Linked DNA regions of Mytilus edulis. The protein of the gene in region 1 binds, or shares a complex with, the protein of each later gene. Links are inferred from orthologs where the notes say so. Each region holds a gene or a part of one and is shown in the gene's direction. Other genes may lie near its edges.

Region 1 (7,831 bases):
CATTGCATACATCCTCTACGGCTGGGTCATTTATACACTTCCCTTTCACTTGTCGTCTCCGTAGTTTTAAATAATTGTACCATAATTTGTAGCTGCAATGTAAATAAACAAAGGTAGTCATAAAGGGTCATACAAATATATGAAAACAAATTACATGAAGAGTATACAGTACATGTCAAATTGTCCATTTACAGTTGTTTCTCAGTAACAAAATATCACAAGAGACTGTTACAACTGAAGTTTTCTTAAGAGGTCTAATAAGTTGAAGTCTTGCTTAGAGATTATGTACTTTTTTTTTAATAATTTTTAAGTAGATGAACAACATAATTTATTCACTCTTTTTGCTAACGAAAATATATCAAACTTCTTATTGAGAAATCAACCATCAAATTAGCTAAAAACATGAATGAAAAAATTGCCTGTTATCCAAAATGATTTGGGTATGAAGTAAGATATATAAGTAATTAGTAATTAATGATATTATTAATTGTTAATCATTTACCTTCCTGGCAATTCTTTCAGAGCTCTTTCATATATCATATTAACAACATTTCTTGAAGCTAGTTTCTTAAACTCTAAGTAACGAAGCCAACATTTAACAGAATATGGGTTTCGTAAAATATCTTCTTCATATGGTAGATCATCTTCTTCCTAGAAAAAAAACCAAACTAAAACATTTGCAATTTTTGATATTATATTATCAGTCAGGGGACTTACTTAAATAAGTGATTTTCTAAATCACTGGTTCAAGTAACATTATTTCCATAAAGGTTGGAAGCAAGAGTTGTCTTTCTTTAATAATCACCTATTTAAGTAGTACAAATTTATCACTAGACTAAGTGATTTAATTTCATTGTAGCTTTAAATATAGAATACTAATGATCCAGGGACTAATTATGTTTCTAAACTTATCAGAACAATCATCTGTGCTGTCTAGGATGATCAGGTCATTTCAGGTGATGACCTTGTACTGAATCTAGGATAATGACATAAAAATCATCTGTTTAAGTATCATACCTCAATTTTCTTCCAAAATATCATATTTTGATAACCCCCACTAATTTCAACACCTCTGAACAGTGAAATTTTTATCGCGAACAGTAGAATTTTATTACATAATCTGAAAGATGAAACCTTGAACTTTACAGGAAAAATACTCCCACTGCTGGGGAAAATCTGTTTAGAAAGTATCAGTTCATTATTTAAAGCCGTCATTATAGCATTTTTTCAACTAAAATAGAATTTGCAACTAAATGATAGCATCAAAGGCATAAACCTTGCTACTAAAAAGAAGCAAAAAATTCATGTTTTTCAATTTTACTAATGAAAAGATATTATTTAAACCTATGTGTTAAAAATTTTGGTAAAACTACAAAATCACACAAAATTTTGAATTTGCTACTCAAATAAGTGATTTAAAAATCACTTTTTTGAATAAGTCCCCTGACTGATTATTTTCTTTGCTATAATTCAATTCAAGCTATTTCCCTTTTTGAAAAGACTTTGAAAATCTTTGAAAATCTGAAATAGTCCATTTGCCAATTTTTTATTCTGTTATTACACACCTTTTTGTATATATATTGTGTAAATGTATGCCTATCGTTGTGTCTGTTATAAAAGCTTTAACACATTCGTGTGATGAGTCAACCAACTCTTTACGGATTACCCATGTAGATGTAGATGTCAAGGCCGTAGCGCCTGTCTATTTAAAGTGAGGCAAATCGCCTAGCGGAGCGAGGTGACCAATTTTTTTGCCTTTTTTTAAGGGGCATTCTGGGTGCCTGAAACGGGAGAAGCTTATTTCAGCATTACTATTTAAAATAAAAAAACAAAAAAAAAATAACAAAAATGCGGGTTTGTTTTATATTAGCTAGCCTAGTGAGTAACAAAACAAGTTTCATATTAAAGTTAATCTATGTTGGTCAATCAAAACTTTCCGATTCTCCTGTGACCTGTACTATCGAAAAGCTTCAACACACGTTCTTATGTATATATATTTATTTATGTCCAACAGCAAGTTATAAGCTTCTTAAAGACTAGAACATGTTATAAGCATCAATTAGGATATATTTATTATACATAATCATTAACCATAAGAATAGGTAGAGAAGACTAGATCAATATTGTTACTTAACCGGATTTTTGACGTTCTAATGTCACAAGTGATCACAAGTTATCTGTAAACATTCCGCTGGAAGACATATCAACCTACATGTACATTTTTACCTGGCCACATTATTCTACCAATTTATAAGTCATTGGTTTGACCTACCGGGGTTTGAACCCACGACCTACCGCAGTAGCACGCTAGCAAACAACAAGACAATGCTGATCATAATCAGAAAAAGAACCACAAAAAAAATATTTTCAAACAATACCAAAAATATATTTCATACTTTTATTAAAGATAAATAAAAATCATGAACTGCCTTATTCATTAAAGACTTCCATAGAAAACGCGCTTCATGATTTTGTTTAAATTAATTATAAATAATTATTATTTTTTTGGTCAATGAATTATTTTATCGATTAACATTTAACAGGCTATTATTTGAACTTGGAATTATTTTTAATTATGGAATTTGCTTGATATCTTGTTATTGAATTTTTTTATAAATTCCATGTTTATTCTGTACTGAAATGCTCTGTGCTGCGCACAACACTTTCTATTACAAAGAAAATACTATATTTTCAATAGAATGTACTGTGCCGCGCACAACACTATCTAACCAAAATACATTGTATGGAAAGTTTTATTAACCGCTAAAAAGATTTTAATACCACATTAACATGGAATTTATTAAAAATTTTAAACACAAGAAATTATGCAAATTCCATAATTAAAAATAATTCCAAGTTCAAATAATAGCCTGTTATTTGTTGTTCAGTGAGTTGATAGTGTAAACATTAGCAACTATAGCTTTATCAATTTAAAAATAAACCAAGTAATAAGCCAGCATACTTATAGGGGGTGTTTATACTCATGAGTTACCCTTTTAATCTTTTTTTCTCTTTAAAGAACCCGTCTTCCAACAGTTTTGTAACGACATTAAAATTTGTTTCAAATTTTTTATTTTGATTTGTATTCGGAACATTTATTTTTTTTACCGTCACCTCTATGGTAAAAGCTGCAATCGCTGCTGCCGATTAGACACACTGTATGTAGTGTGCCAGTAGATAATTTGTAACTCGAAACTCGCATATTGATAATGTAAAATACATAATTTAAAAAAAAAGACACTTCTAAAGTGTGGTCGTCGTTTCAAAAGTGCCAACAACCGCTTGTATGGGGACGAAGTCCCCAATAACAGTAGAAAATTCAATAAAAATTTTTTCATTGTACTAATGAACTCAAAATCGTTCAAATTTTTTTGTCGTGTTTTGAAATCCCGAACCTGCGCAGAAATGTACTTCCTTTTTCCGGTCTCGTTTGTATGAAACTTTAAGTAAAATATATATTTATCAGTCTAGTATAAAATAGGAAGGAACGCGCAATACCAATTTCATTTTTAATAATTCCTTGATATGAAAAAACGTTACCTGATGATAGCGTTTCTTTGTTTACATTGCATATGACGTCATAATTTAAATAACGTCACAACTAAAATCCCTAACAACAGAACCAAAATCGGAAACGTTACGGTATTTCCGTTTCTTTTTTTTAACAAATATTTAAGTTACAAAAAAACAATTCATACAGACTTCGTCCCCATTTCAGTACAGGTAATGCCTGCCTCATATTAACTTGAAAAGGGTTATTTACAAAGAAAATATCTTTCTGTTTTTCCATCAGTACTGGCATCCTTTCTTTTAATGTCTTAAGTTGAATAATATTTTCTCAGTATTTCTTTTCTTTTAGTTTTAAGTTTTCATGGGCGCTGACATATTGGATCGTATAAAATGCGTTGTGTGAAATTTTAAAGGGGTGTATCAATTTGTGAGGCAAAATATTTAAAAAAAAATATCGAGACCAAATTGATATACAAGCAAATATTTGTTTAATAATGAAAACAAACTGTATCTTACAATTACATTTTCCTAATTCTAAAGATAAGCATCAAAATTAAGAATTTAATATAGGAACCTAGCCCCCCTTAGTATCATATGGAATATCCCATCTACATTAATCTCGTTTGTTACGAGAAATGATTAAACTTCCCTCCATCTAAACAATTCTGGAAAAAAAGACTAAGAGGATTAGGAGATTGTCGGTAAAAATATAAATGGTAGGTATTTAGGTGTTGTCATTCCCAAATTGTAGATGTCTTTGTTTTTTATGTGTGTCACAATTTGACAGTTACGCTTCATTATAGTATATTTAATTTATAGATCAATATATATTGCAATTGATATTTTTGTCTGTTTTTTTTTGTGAAATTGAAATCCAAATTTGCATACAGCTGCATTTTGATATCTGTGGGTTACAGTGATGATTGGCCCTATTGACAGAACAATGAAAGAACCAAAATAAAAAAAAAATATGCTAATAACAAATTTGAAACATTGTGAAATATAATGATAATAAGATTCTCTCATAATTTTATACTTGAGAAAAAAATATAGAAGAAAAAAATAAATACATGCTTTTGAAAAAACATGACCTGACCAAAGCCGACAATAGAAATATTTACACTCATATACTAATTTGTCCCCCATTATGTTCCGTAACTTTGACATCACAATTCAAAAGATTTGACGTCAAAATGTAATTTGGAGCAGATCTAAGCTTAATAAGCTTAAGCAGATCAGAGCACCTGAGATCACCCCTAGTTTTTGGAAAATGACGCAGTCATTGTTCCATTACTGGCGACCTGAACTTCATTGCATTTCTCTGCCTACCGCGCTTGGTTTCGTATTTACTATTTTCTATACAAACTGGAATTTGCTTGTGTTATCATTATGCATGAGAGGTCATTGTGTAGTAATCAGCCAGGAACCAGTTTACAAACTAACTGGTTTCTGCTTGTATTCCACTACACTCGAACAAAGTGTTGTAGTTTGACGGGAACCAGTTTAGAATTTGTAAACTACAAAACGTAATCGGTTATTGTTCATTCCGTTTTGGTGTTTCATACCGACTTTTATGGTTTGAATAAGCTTAAGACCCTTCAAACATTAATGTGATAGGTATATTAAAGACTGTTTTACAAAAGGATGGAACTGTTTTGCTTTCAAATCGTACTATAGTGATATCTGTTATGTACGGATTTCCACTCTCACCGGTTAATTTCTTCTTTTACACGTGCTTTTGAAACTTCCTGTTTAAACATCGCAAGTTTTAAAATTGTTTTTTGAGTGAATTTAACTTATTTTAACAATCATGAAGCGTTCCAGAATCATTTTCAAGCAGTTTCTTCTTCTCTTTGATGATGGAAAATATGTTTTTCTCAAGAAAATACCGCAAACGATCGCAGAGGAATTGAAACGTACAAGTCAAGTCGGCACCTGGTTAAATTGGCATCTAGTCAAATCGGCACCTATTTGACGTCAATTCGGCATCCAATAATATTTGTTATAATATTTTCTATTCAATTAATTAATAACTGTTACCAAGTACATAGTGAATATGTTGTTGTGAAGTTAGGTAAACAACGAAACCAAAGTGAAATTATGTTGTTGTGTATAAAGGTAAACAACGAAGCCCTTACCCAAGCTGTTGTTTTAACAATTAGACAATTATTAAAATAAAATGGAAAACTATGAGTCCCTTTCAATAAATCAAACTTTCATGCCAAATAATAAGCAAATTTAAGGTGTTTTTTTTCTTCAGTAAAGTTTAAAAAGCATTAAACAAACAATCCTGTAAAATGCTCAACTGGTTTAAATAATGCATAAAAATATCCAATATCTCATGTATTAGTCCAAATAATTATGACGTCTGGCAAGGCTATTTTATTTTTTTTCTGTGATGTCTTCCTACGAAGTTCGTAGGAAGGCGTCCCAGAAAAAAATTAACATAGCCTTGCGGTCATAGAAAGGTGTCCCAGAATAAAATTAAAAAAGCCTTGCCAGACGTAATAATTATTTTGACTACTCATATATATATCATTAAAAATACACCAAAAAAGTCATTAAGTTGAGAAAAATAAATATATACAAAATGTACATGAACACCCAAAAATGTGAAAGTTAGTATTTAACTCTTTTTGCTTAAATACTGAAAAAAATTCTGGCAACCCCTTACTTATTTTTACTCTTTTTGCTTAAAATACTGTTAAAATTTATATTTAACATGGGTGACGAATTGACTATATCAGGTGTGGATTTAACCAGGTGCTGATTTGTCCAGGTGCCAATTTAACCAGGTGCCGGTTTGACTAGAATTCTTTGACAAATGTTTGAAATTACCTGAGTTTCATAAGACCTTTGATAACAGTAACAAAAAGATTATTTACTTAATATTTTGTGGGAGAAGGGGGTTCAGACTATGTGGTATCATGTCTGTTCCCGCCCAATACACTTTCGCACCCTACACGTTCGCACCTCGCACGTTCGCACCCAAGGTCCGTTTGCACTCTACTCATTCGCGCCCAATTTTAATTCAAATTCAAGTTGAATAATTGGAAAATCATGATTGTTGTTTTAAATTGCTTTGGTGTTAATACTGAATGTATTTATAGCTTGGTATGAGTAAAACATTGAAGATTTTAAAGGAAAAACACAAAAGATAATTGTTTTTAACAGCTTGGTCCCTTTGATCTGAAACAACGAAACAATAAAATATAGGAACCAAAATATAGCAATCCACTATTATAACCAAAACAAAGCAACCAAAACATGATTAAGAGTAATTCAACACAAAATAAAACGTTGACAAAATACCACTTTATTTAGAAAGGATTATTATAATTTTTAACAATACGCTATCTAAAACATGATTAAGATTTATTCAACACAAAAAAAAATGCTGTCTCACTTTATTTTGAGACAATGACAACAATTATACTTATAAGAAAACACTTGCTTACAGAGTTATTAAACACAAAACCAATTAAGATTGGGTGCGAACATGTAGGGTGTGAAAGTGAAAGGGGCGAACATGAGTGGGCGCGAACGGACCCGGATTCAGACTATGTACCAGTGAGAAATATACAAGCCTTTCTACGGTATTTATTTGTACAATTCAGGTAGTCTTGACCTATTCATTTGTCTTAAAAAAACAGCCAGTTGTCACCTTCACTTCACACACACACACATATACGAATATTAATTATATGCTTACGAGACATGTTGCATTGTTAAACTAATTACGGTATGTGAAAATCAAGACTTGCATAAAAACTATCCCAATATTAGAGACAGTGGCGTCATTTTTCTTCAGAGCTTTCAGCTCTTTGATTGATGGGGTTTGTGTTGCTTATTCTTTAGTTTTCTATGTTGTGTCATGTGCTCTATTGTTTGTCTTCTTTTATTTTAAGCAAGGCATAGTCAGTCCTATAACATATGACTTCGCATTCTTATTCAAATTTTAACGTTTTTATACTGATATTTTCATATTTTTTTTTTAATGTGAAAAATATCAGAACAGTAAATAGAAATAGTAAATAATGCCCCAGAGGTCATATGTTATAGGACTAAGCCAGGCGTTGTCAGTTTATTTTCAATTTATGAGTTTGACTGTACATGTCCCTCTGGTATCTTTCTCCCGCTTCGAATTCCTTAATATGGTCATTCGAAGACAAAATTTAGCTGAATACCAAAAGTGAAAATAAAGTTCTGACAGGACCAAATGAAAATGCTAACTTTTTTTGTATTTCAGAAAGGATTTGTCTCGAATTTAAAATCTAATTACTAGATTTCATTATTTAATACATAAACATAAGACTAATAA
Region 2 (8,522 bases), on another chromosome or scaffold:
TTTAATTTTAGTTTCTCGTGTATAATTAGTATGACGTCCATTATCACTGTACTTAAGTATACATATTTTTTAAGGGGGTAGCTGAAGGACGCCTACGGGTGCGGGAGTTTTTCGCTACATTGAAGACCCATTGGTGGCCTTCGGCTGTTGTCTGCTCTATGGTCAGGTTGTTGTTGCTTTGACACATTCCCCATTTCCTTTCTCAATTTTATAGAAAATTTAATAAAACCCTGCATATATTAAAACATTCAAATTTTATATATAATTTTATGAGTTTTCAGAAAAGCAACTGGATTTTAGCTTTCTAGACCTATTAGTTTTAAATACAATTGTTTATAAAACAGGAAATAATAATACAACGAAACCTAGTCCAAATAATTATGACGTCTTGAAAGGCTATTATAATTTTTTTCTTTGACGCCTTACATCGATGTAAGGCGTCAAAGAAAAAAATTATAATAGCCTTTCTAGACGTCATAATTATTTGGACTAAACGAAACCATGAAACACGATTCGTCAAGACCCTAAAAGCTAAAATTTGAGCTAAACGTCCTTTTCAACTCATAAAGATGTGTGTCATTATTGAGAAACATATTTACTGGTGATGGCTGATCATAATCATCAGATTGTCCTCCAAGACAGGGCAAACAAAGTCCCATATTTAGGAAACCTTTACAAAAACTCCAATATCCTATGTTAGGCTGTCTGCATTTTCGACCCAGATAAAAGCTTACTAAGAATATTCCTTGCATGATAACTTTTAGGTATGACTAAACACCAAACCCAAAATTTTAAAAAGAAAAGCGTAACAACATTTCTAATTAAAATATTTTCTACAAGCAGGGCTATGATAGTTAAATAATAATTAAAACATTCAACAGATGAAACAGTATAACGGTACGTACATGAAAATTACATTTGACACTACGTTCAGAAAAAATAGAAGGGTTACATGAAGTACAGCTATGTCGTTTGCCTGTCAGACATCATCGCATTTTCCATGTGTTTATTTGGTCGATTTTATTAAAAACCAGCGAGTTAAAATTAGACAGTGGCTATTTGACCGGCACCGGCAAAAGAGAAGAAATGCTATTTTGCCGGCTCTGATTAAAATATATCTCGCTGGAATTAAATTGTAAGAATAATAATTTTAAAATATTAAAATTAAAATTTATATTTAAAAACTTGTGTTACTGTTAGACTCATATGAATACTTTGAAAATTGAATATGACACATGAGGAAAGCATTTGATAGTTAAACTCAAAGTAATACTGTAGATGCTACTTATAAGACAAATAATCTGAATATGCCACTCTACTTAATAATCAATGGTGATAGGAATGGACAAAATGAAATATTTGCTATGTTCTTGCTTACACAGGAGGAGGAATCTAAACTTCAACTAGTTATTTAACAATTCAAATTAAAGAATGAAAACTAAGAAAATATACGGGCGATATAAACTGACAAAGACATGACCGAAAGAAATGTTTTGGGGGAAGCTATACCTCAAGAATAGCTGCAGTTGTGTTTGTTTCATGTTTTACGGAATTTTAGACGATAAGTTTCAATCGAAAAATTGGGGATAACAGTTGGTGAGAAAATTCAAGCTATTTGTCTTTCTATATTTCTCAAATGAATAAACTGGATATAAATATGAAGAGTTGGTTACACGAAATTGCAAATGTTAAATCGGTGTCCATTTGAAATTCGTAGCAAACAACTTTTAAAAATGTCTGTTTTATGATGTTGGATAACAGGGTTCTTATATAAAATGGTTGTTCAAACTCCGTTCATTCAATATTCTATTGACAATTCTTTTTATACATCTTTAAAAATGCATAAAGATGAAAACAGTCTTAACTTTCTACATTTAAAAAAGGTGAATGTCTTTTGTAAAAACCTGGTGCCAATCTGAAAATAAATCACAATGTTGATACAGGGGCGGATCCAGTCATTTTGTAAAAGGGGGGACCCGGCAACCCAGAATAAAAAGGGAGTGGTTCCAACCACATGTCCCCATTCATATGCATCATGATCTTTCAAAAAAGGGGATCCCCCCGCCCCACAACTAATATATAAAGCGACAAATTAACCACCTTTAAATTCTAAATCAATTTGAACAATATTACAAAAAATGTACAATATTCACCAAAATTGCATACATTGTATAGTTTATATAGAATAGTAACTTCTACACACCCACTATGTGCTTTTGAACAGGGACTTTCTATACTAACTATACTATTCGTCATTATAGTCTTGTTTTACGGGGGTTCCATAAACGACAAGTCTAGGGTTCTTTGACATCACTTTATACCCCGTTAAACAAGACTATTATATTAGTGTAGAAAGTCCATGTTTTGAATTCATGTCCTTTAGGCCTATGTATTTTTGTATAACAACTTAAGGCAGCCATCACAAATGTACACTGTGATGTGCACGTCACTGTAAGCACAGAATGCATTCTGACAATGTCCCTTTTTTTGATAAAATAAATCGTTCAGGGACTACCACGCTTTGAAAAGAAATGAGCTTTAAATTCTCGAAAAATATATGTAATTGTAGATAGAAATATTATCGTTACGTCTGTATTTAATCGGTGTCTAACATAACATTACATTAATTCAGTCTTGCAATTGAATGTAGTCTTTAACGTAACAATATTTCGTTTATTTACGATTAAAACAGCGTAATCGTAGCCGTTTCCTTTAGAATATGTTGTAAAATTTAAAAATCTTTTTAAATATGAAATGTATCTCCCTCATGTATAGATCCAATATCCCCTGTCAGTTTTGGTTTTAACTTTAAACAGTTATGTGGTTTTATAGTAGCCAGGACTTCGGTACTGACATGACAATGAATTTTGTTTTATTTTTGTTTTTATTGTATGCCAAATGTAGCACGACCGCCTACAAGCAAAAAAAAAATAAAAAAAAACAAGAAGGTGTGGTACGATTGCCTATGAGACATGGGAATAGTATATCAATATATATGTTCCTGATGAGACAACATGGCGTAGAAATTTATATTGTACCAAATCCTGTTTGGTCATATAGCTCTTCAACAGTTTAGGTTGTAAATTATAAATTCATGGTTTTCAAATATTCGGCTTTGAGATTTCCCGATTTAGGTAAATCCAGAAAAAACGCTTCAGACGTATGAATTATTCAACGTATTGTTCTCATTTTCTCTCTCTCATTAAAATCAAAATAGCTACGAATTTAGATCACAAGCAGGAAACAGTAGCTATGTAAGAGTGAATGTTTTATGAGATAATATATATACCTATGTGTTTTTTCAAGTCATCTAAATGATCTATCACACTGGCGTCCATGACCTGACCTCTGTATATCTAAAAAAAATAAATAACCCTGCCTTTGTAGAGAAACAGTCATAGTCTTTCATATCGTTGAACGATACTCTGTTTATATCATGATAGTGTTGGTACTCCCTCCGTCACTCAAAATCATATTGTTCATTTACAGTATCTATACACAATTCGAATACAAATCTTTTCAGTAATACAATTTAGAACAATCATCCTACTAAATTGCAGCTATAAATACTCATGTACAAAATTTTCAAAGCAATGTTATAAATCATAAACCAGTATCATGCAGAGTTACCGAAGAATGCAGTTATAATGACTGTTCGTCTACGATAGTAGAGGGGCTTTATATTTTCTGGTCTGCGGGTCCGTTCGTCCGTTCATTCGTCCGTCCGTTCGTCCCGCTTCATGTTAAAGTTTTTGGTCAAGGTAGTTTTTGATGAAGTTGAAGTCACATCAACTTGAAACCTAGTACACAATTGTTCCCTATGATATGATCTTTCTAATTTAATTCCAAATTAAAGTTTTGATCCCAATTGCAGGGTCCACTGAACATGGAAAATGATAGTGCGAGTGGGGCATCCGTGTACTATGGATACATTCTTGCTTTTGACATGTTTATAAACTTCCGACCCCTTTTTGAATTTCAATTCCTTGGAGTTCCATGTTTATATTAATACTTTTTGGCATATTATGGCTCTCACTTTGGGTAAACTTTTAATGAAATGTAGCAAAAACTTTGACAATAAAAAATCTAAATTCGTAAAGGAGAACCCCTTTTATAATAATAGTCAATATTATAGATTTCACGTATTAGAAGATACAGGTATGGATTTGGATGCATTGAAGAGTTATTCCTTACCTAATGGTGACACAGCATCAGCGTGATGATATTTTTCCGTTGCTGATTGACGAAAGAAGATATAACTAGAACTGTAAGAGAGAAAATATCAAAATTGAAGCTTTGCTATTAAAAGCTAGTAAATGATATCAAATCAGATATGAAGGACAGCAGAAAACTCACTATCTATAGATAGTAAGACAAAACAATACTAGAGACATACACACATCTAAAAAAAACATCTAATGTAACTGGTATTTGAATAAAAATAGCCTTGGGAAGGGTAGAATGTGTAGGGTGGGAATGGGTTTTGGGAGCGAACGGACCCGATACGGTTCAAGATCCTGTAATTCTTTCAGAACAAAATATTAATTAAGTAAGTAATTATTTACTATAGTGACATGTGTATCACAACATATATTTATACAATTTATTACAGATCAATTTGATATATAATAACTCAGTTTTAATTCTTTTATAGTATTTACCATGTGTTTCTATGGATTATATGATATTTCAAATATGTGCACTTTTGTTCTTCACGATGCGTTGTTGTTTTAAAATATATATGGTGTATCTTGTCAGTCTTCATACGGTTCTCTGTAGGGACAATCCGTTATTGTATCACATATCCAAACTTGTGGAAGTATGTTTTACGATTGTAAGTTATGTCACACTCATGTTTCACATAATTTGAATGCTTTTGAAGAATTCTTAAACCACATACATTCAGAAAATGTTACATTTTAAGTATTTTTTTCATTTCTAACATTAAAAGTTAACGTAAACAATTTTACATAAAATCTTCACTTTACCGTAACATCATTTGTTTATGTGGAAACCAGTGAAACGTGAAGAAAATCGGATCAAATTTTGTAAATAGTAGACATATTTTGGGGATTAATACACGAGGATGAGTGAGTATATTCTAATTTTTCAATTGAATTAGTACATATTTAAGAAATGTGCTCTTTGTTGCGTAAGAAATCATGGATTTCGGGTACAAAAAGTTTTCATAAGGAGGAAGCATAATTTTCTTCAAGAACAAGGAAACATTTGTATCATCTTACAAAAAATAAAGATTTTCATGCCATGTGTGTGTACAAGAACAGTGGCGGATCCAGCCATTTAAAAAAGGGGGTCCCCGTACGGTATCGGGATCGTTCGCCCTGATTACATGTTCGCCCTAGGTTCGTTCGCACTGAGTTTGTTCGCCCTGGTAATCCGTTCGTCCTGGGTTTGTTCGCCCTATTTTTATTTATGATATGTATATGTTATATATTATATATTTTATGTTTAAAATTTATAATGAAAGAAATATATATTTATATATATTAAAATTTATGTATATCTATTAAAAGTTAAATACAGAATATTAATTAAATAAAATTCTTGGCTGCATTAATTGTAACACTTTATTTTATAATTACGTTTAATTACTGTTGATTGAATTTTGATTGCTGATTAGGTATAATTTGAAATCTTTGATATCACTGATTGGTATATGAATTTGATGGTTAATAATGAAAATAACATTTTTCTCAAATAAAATAGTCAGCTTGGATGGGTAAAAACATTGATGTACAAATTGCTAGGCATGACAGGGAAATTATTTTCGCAGCTTGGCTTCTTTGATCTCAAGTGTGTTTTGACAAATTTGTTATATATGGAAGTGGATTATGGAACCGGTTTATCATTCCATAAACTATGGAAGTGTACATGTGTATTTCTTGTGACAGAGAGGTCCGACCTCGTCAACATGCAGTTTCTTGTTATAACTGTTACTGAATATTTTTATATTGTTAAAATGTATCAATAAAGTTAAATATATAAATAACTTAGTCTTTAGTTGTTTCATGTCAAATACTTTGTAGTCTTTCAATTCACAGAAACTTATCCTCGTAGCAGCAAGACAACATAATAACTTAGTACATTTGAAAATACAATGTAGTGCTGATTGAAATTCACAAAATCTTATTTCCTAGTAACGTAATTACATACAGATACTAACTTAGTTCTCAATACCTTGAAGTCACAATATCTTGTAGTCCTATAATTTACAGGAACTTATAACCTAGTAGCAGCTAGCTGTCGACAACATAATACACCGAAAATATTCGGCGAAATTGTAGGCCGACTTTAACATATATATTCAATTAAATACACACAAAACAACACTGTACTAAAAAATAAAAATCGTAAATATTCGGCGAAATTGTAGACTGACTTCAACATATTCAATTAAATACACACAAAACAACACTATAATAAAAAATATAAATCAGGGCGAACATACCCGGGGCGAACAGGTATCAGGGCGAACGGTCTCAGGGCGAAACGGAACTAGGGCGAACAGTAACTAGGGCGAACAAAAATCAGGGCGGACGGACCCGGATTCTCCCCGTACCACCCCCTGGATCCGCCAATGAAGAAGAATACTATATTTATTAAAATTACCCTAAATGACATTTCTTTAAAATAGAGACTAAAGATACAAAGGCTTTTAGCAATGTTTAGGGGGAGGGTTGAGATAAAAATAAAAAACATGTTTTAACCCTGCCAAAATGCACCAGTCCCAAGTCAGGAGCCTCTGACCTTTGTTAGTCTTGTATGGTTTTTAATTTTAGTTTCTTGTGTATATTTCAGAGTTTAGTACGAGGTCCATTATCATTTAACTAGCATACATTTTGTTTAGGGGCCAGCTGAAGCATGCCTCTGGGTGGGGGAGATTTAAGCTGCATTGAAGACCCATGGTGGCCCTTGGCTGTTGTCTGCGCTTTGGTCGAGTTGCTGTCTCCCTGACGTATTCCCCATTTCCATTTGCAATTTTGCAATTTATTATTATTCAAACACATAAATCAAAAACAAACTGAACATATGCCATGTTAGTCCTAATAATTATGACGTCTGGCAAGGCTTTTTTAATTTTTTTCTGGGACGTCCCAGAAAAAAATTAAAATAGCCTTGCCAGACTTCATAATCATTTGGACTAATGCCATGTATGCTGAAATGGCAAAAAAACAAAAAAAAATACAAATACATGGATGCTTCTAGTACTATATAGTTTAGGGTGCACTAAATCGGCCATTGGCCCAACAAATTATGTGAATATAAAAACCCAAGTGAGTGCTTTTCTAAATATGAAAATTCATGTAATTGGCCAGTTCAATTTGAAATCCATTTGAATCAAGGTAAATCTATAAAGATGACAGAAATGTCTCATTCTCCGTCTAGTGGTCTTATACCATTCTTTAAAAGAATCCAGTCTTTAGCCAGGAAGAAGAAGAATTAAAATCTTACTTGGATTAAGTTATGCATATACCATGATATATATATACATGTATACATTGCATATATTATACTTTTCCAGTTTGCAGAACTTAGGAAAATAAACTAACACACAAATTTCATTTGATTCAGTCAACGTTAACTCAGTAATCAATGGTTATACATGTACAGTTTAAATCACATATTGTTTGCAGGGGTCCATCTACATGTACATGTCTTGCACTTTTGTCTATTTAAATCAATTTAACTCGCAACATTAATAAAATGAGGGGATGTTCTTAAACTTCTTTTTCAACTTAGTTTGTTTTAGCACCTTCTGCAGAAATGTAAAAAATTAATAGCAATATTCTGGGAAGTTTTTTAATATTCTTAAACTCAAAATGCATTTTAATTTTAAATACATGTATCTAGGTCCAGACATTCTCCAAACCTTTTCCTAGTGCACAGGCTTGTCTGTACTCAGAGTGATATTTTTTTGGTGTAAATACGGCCATATTTGCTAAAAGTTTATGATAAACTTAATGTATATATGTTCTTTATATAGACTTTTTATTATAAATGCTTACCCCGTAAGCACAGATTTTGAGTCTTACCATACAAATCCTTGGCTTAAACATGCTTAAGCAGCACAGAAATGTACATGTACATTGATTCATCAAACTCTGTAGACCATCTTCTGAGGGATATTCAAACTAATATATAATGTAGTGGTTAAACTTCTCTCCTAACAATCTGGCTTCTTTCACCAATATAAAATTCAGTGGTTAAACTTCTCTCCTGACAATCTGGCTTCTTTCACCAATATAAAATGTAGCTGGTTAAACTTCTCTCCAGACAATCTGGCTTCTTTCACCAATATGAAATGTAGTAAACTTCTCTCCTGACAATCTGGCTTCTTTCACCAATATAAAATGTAGTGGTTAAACTTCTCTCCAGACAATCTGGCTTCTTTCACCAATATGAAATGTAGTGGTTAAACTTCTCTCCTGACAATCTGGCTTCTTTCACCAATATAAAATGTAGTGGTTAAACTTCTCTCCAGACAATCTGGCTTCTTTCAC

What was found. The genes of interacting proteins can lie anywhere in the genome.
Region 2: the proteins of G-protein-signaling modulator 2-like (region 1) and protein inscuteable homolog are in contact, whole or in part, in a crystal structure (PDB 3RO3), measured with the Mus musculus proteins. The link is inferred for Mytilus edulis from reciprocal best matches to the Homo sapiens genes GPSM2 and INSC. Residues at the interface, in NP_083798.2 of Mus musculus: Asn210, Tyr213, Leu214, Phe218, Arg242, Ser246, Asn247, Asn250, Ile253, Phe254, Tyr265, Gln283, Tyr286, Ser287, Asn290, Thr291, Thr293, Leu294, Arg323, Trp326, Ser327, Asn330; in XP_006507722.1 of Mus musculus: Val72, Asp73, Ser74, Val75, Arg77, Trp78, Met79, Asp81, Leu82, Lys83, Leu84, Met85, Thr86, Glu87.

What each region holds. Positions count from the first base shown.
Region 1 is NC_092345.1:1,969,970-1,977,800, reverse strand, and holds the start of G-protein-signaling modulator 2-like, read left to right. Parts: upstream 1-4,116; 5' UTR 4,117-4,226; intron 4,227-7,831. Other genes in the region: pre-mRNA-splicing factor SYF1-like, read right to left, coding at 1-92, 503-651, 3,764-3,802. UniProt on the Homo sapiens protein: Plays an important role in mitotic spindle pole organization via its interaction with NUMA1. Required for cortical dynein-dynactin complex recruitment during metaphase. Plays a role in metaphase spindle orientation.
Region 2 is NC_092353.1:81,277,180-81,285,701, forward strand, and holds the start of protein inscuteable homolog, read left to right. Parts: upstream 1-4,991; 5' UTR 4,992-5,090; intron 5,091-8,522. Other genes in the region: uncharacterized protein, read right to left, coding at 600-752. UniProt on the Homo sapiens protein: May function as an adapter linking the Par3 complex to the GPSM1/GPSM2 complex. Involved in spindle orientation during mitosis. May regulate cell proliferation and differentiation in the developing nervous system.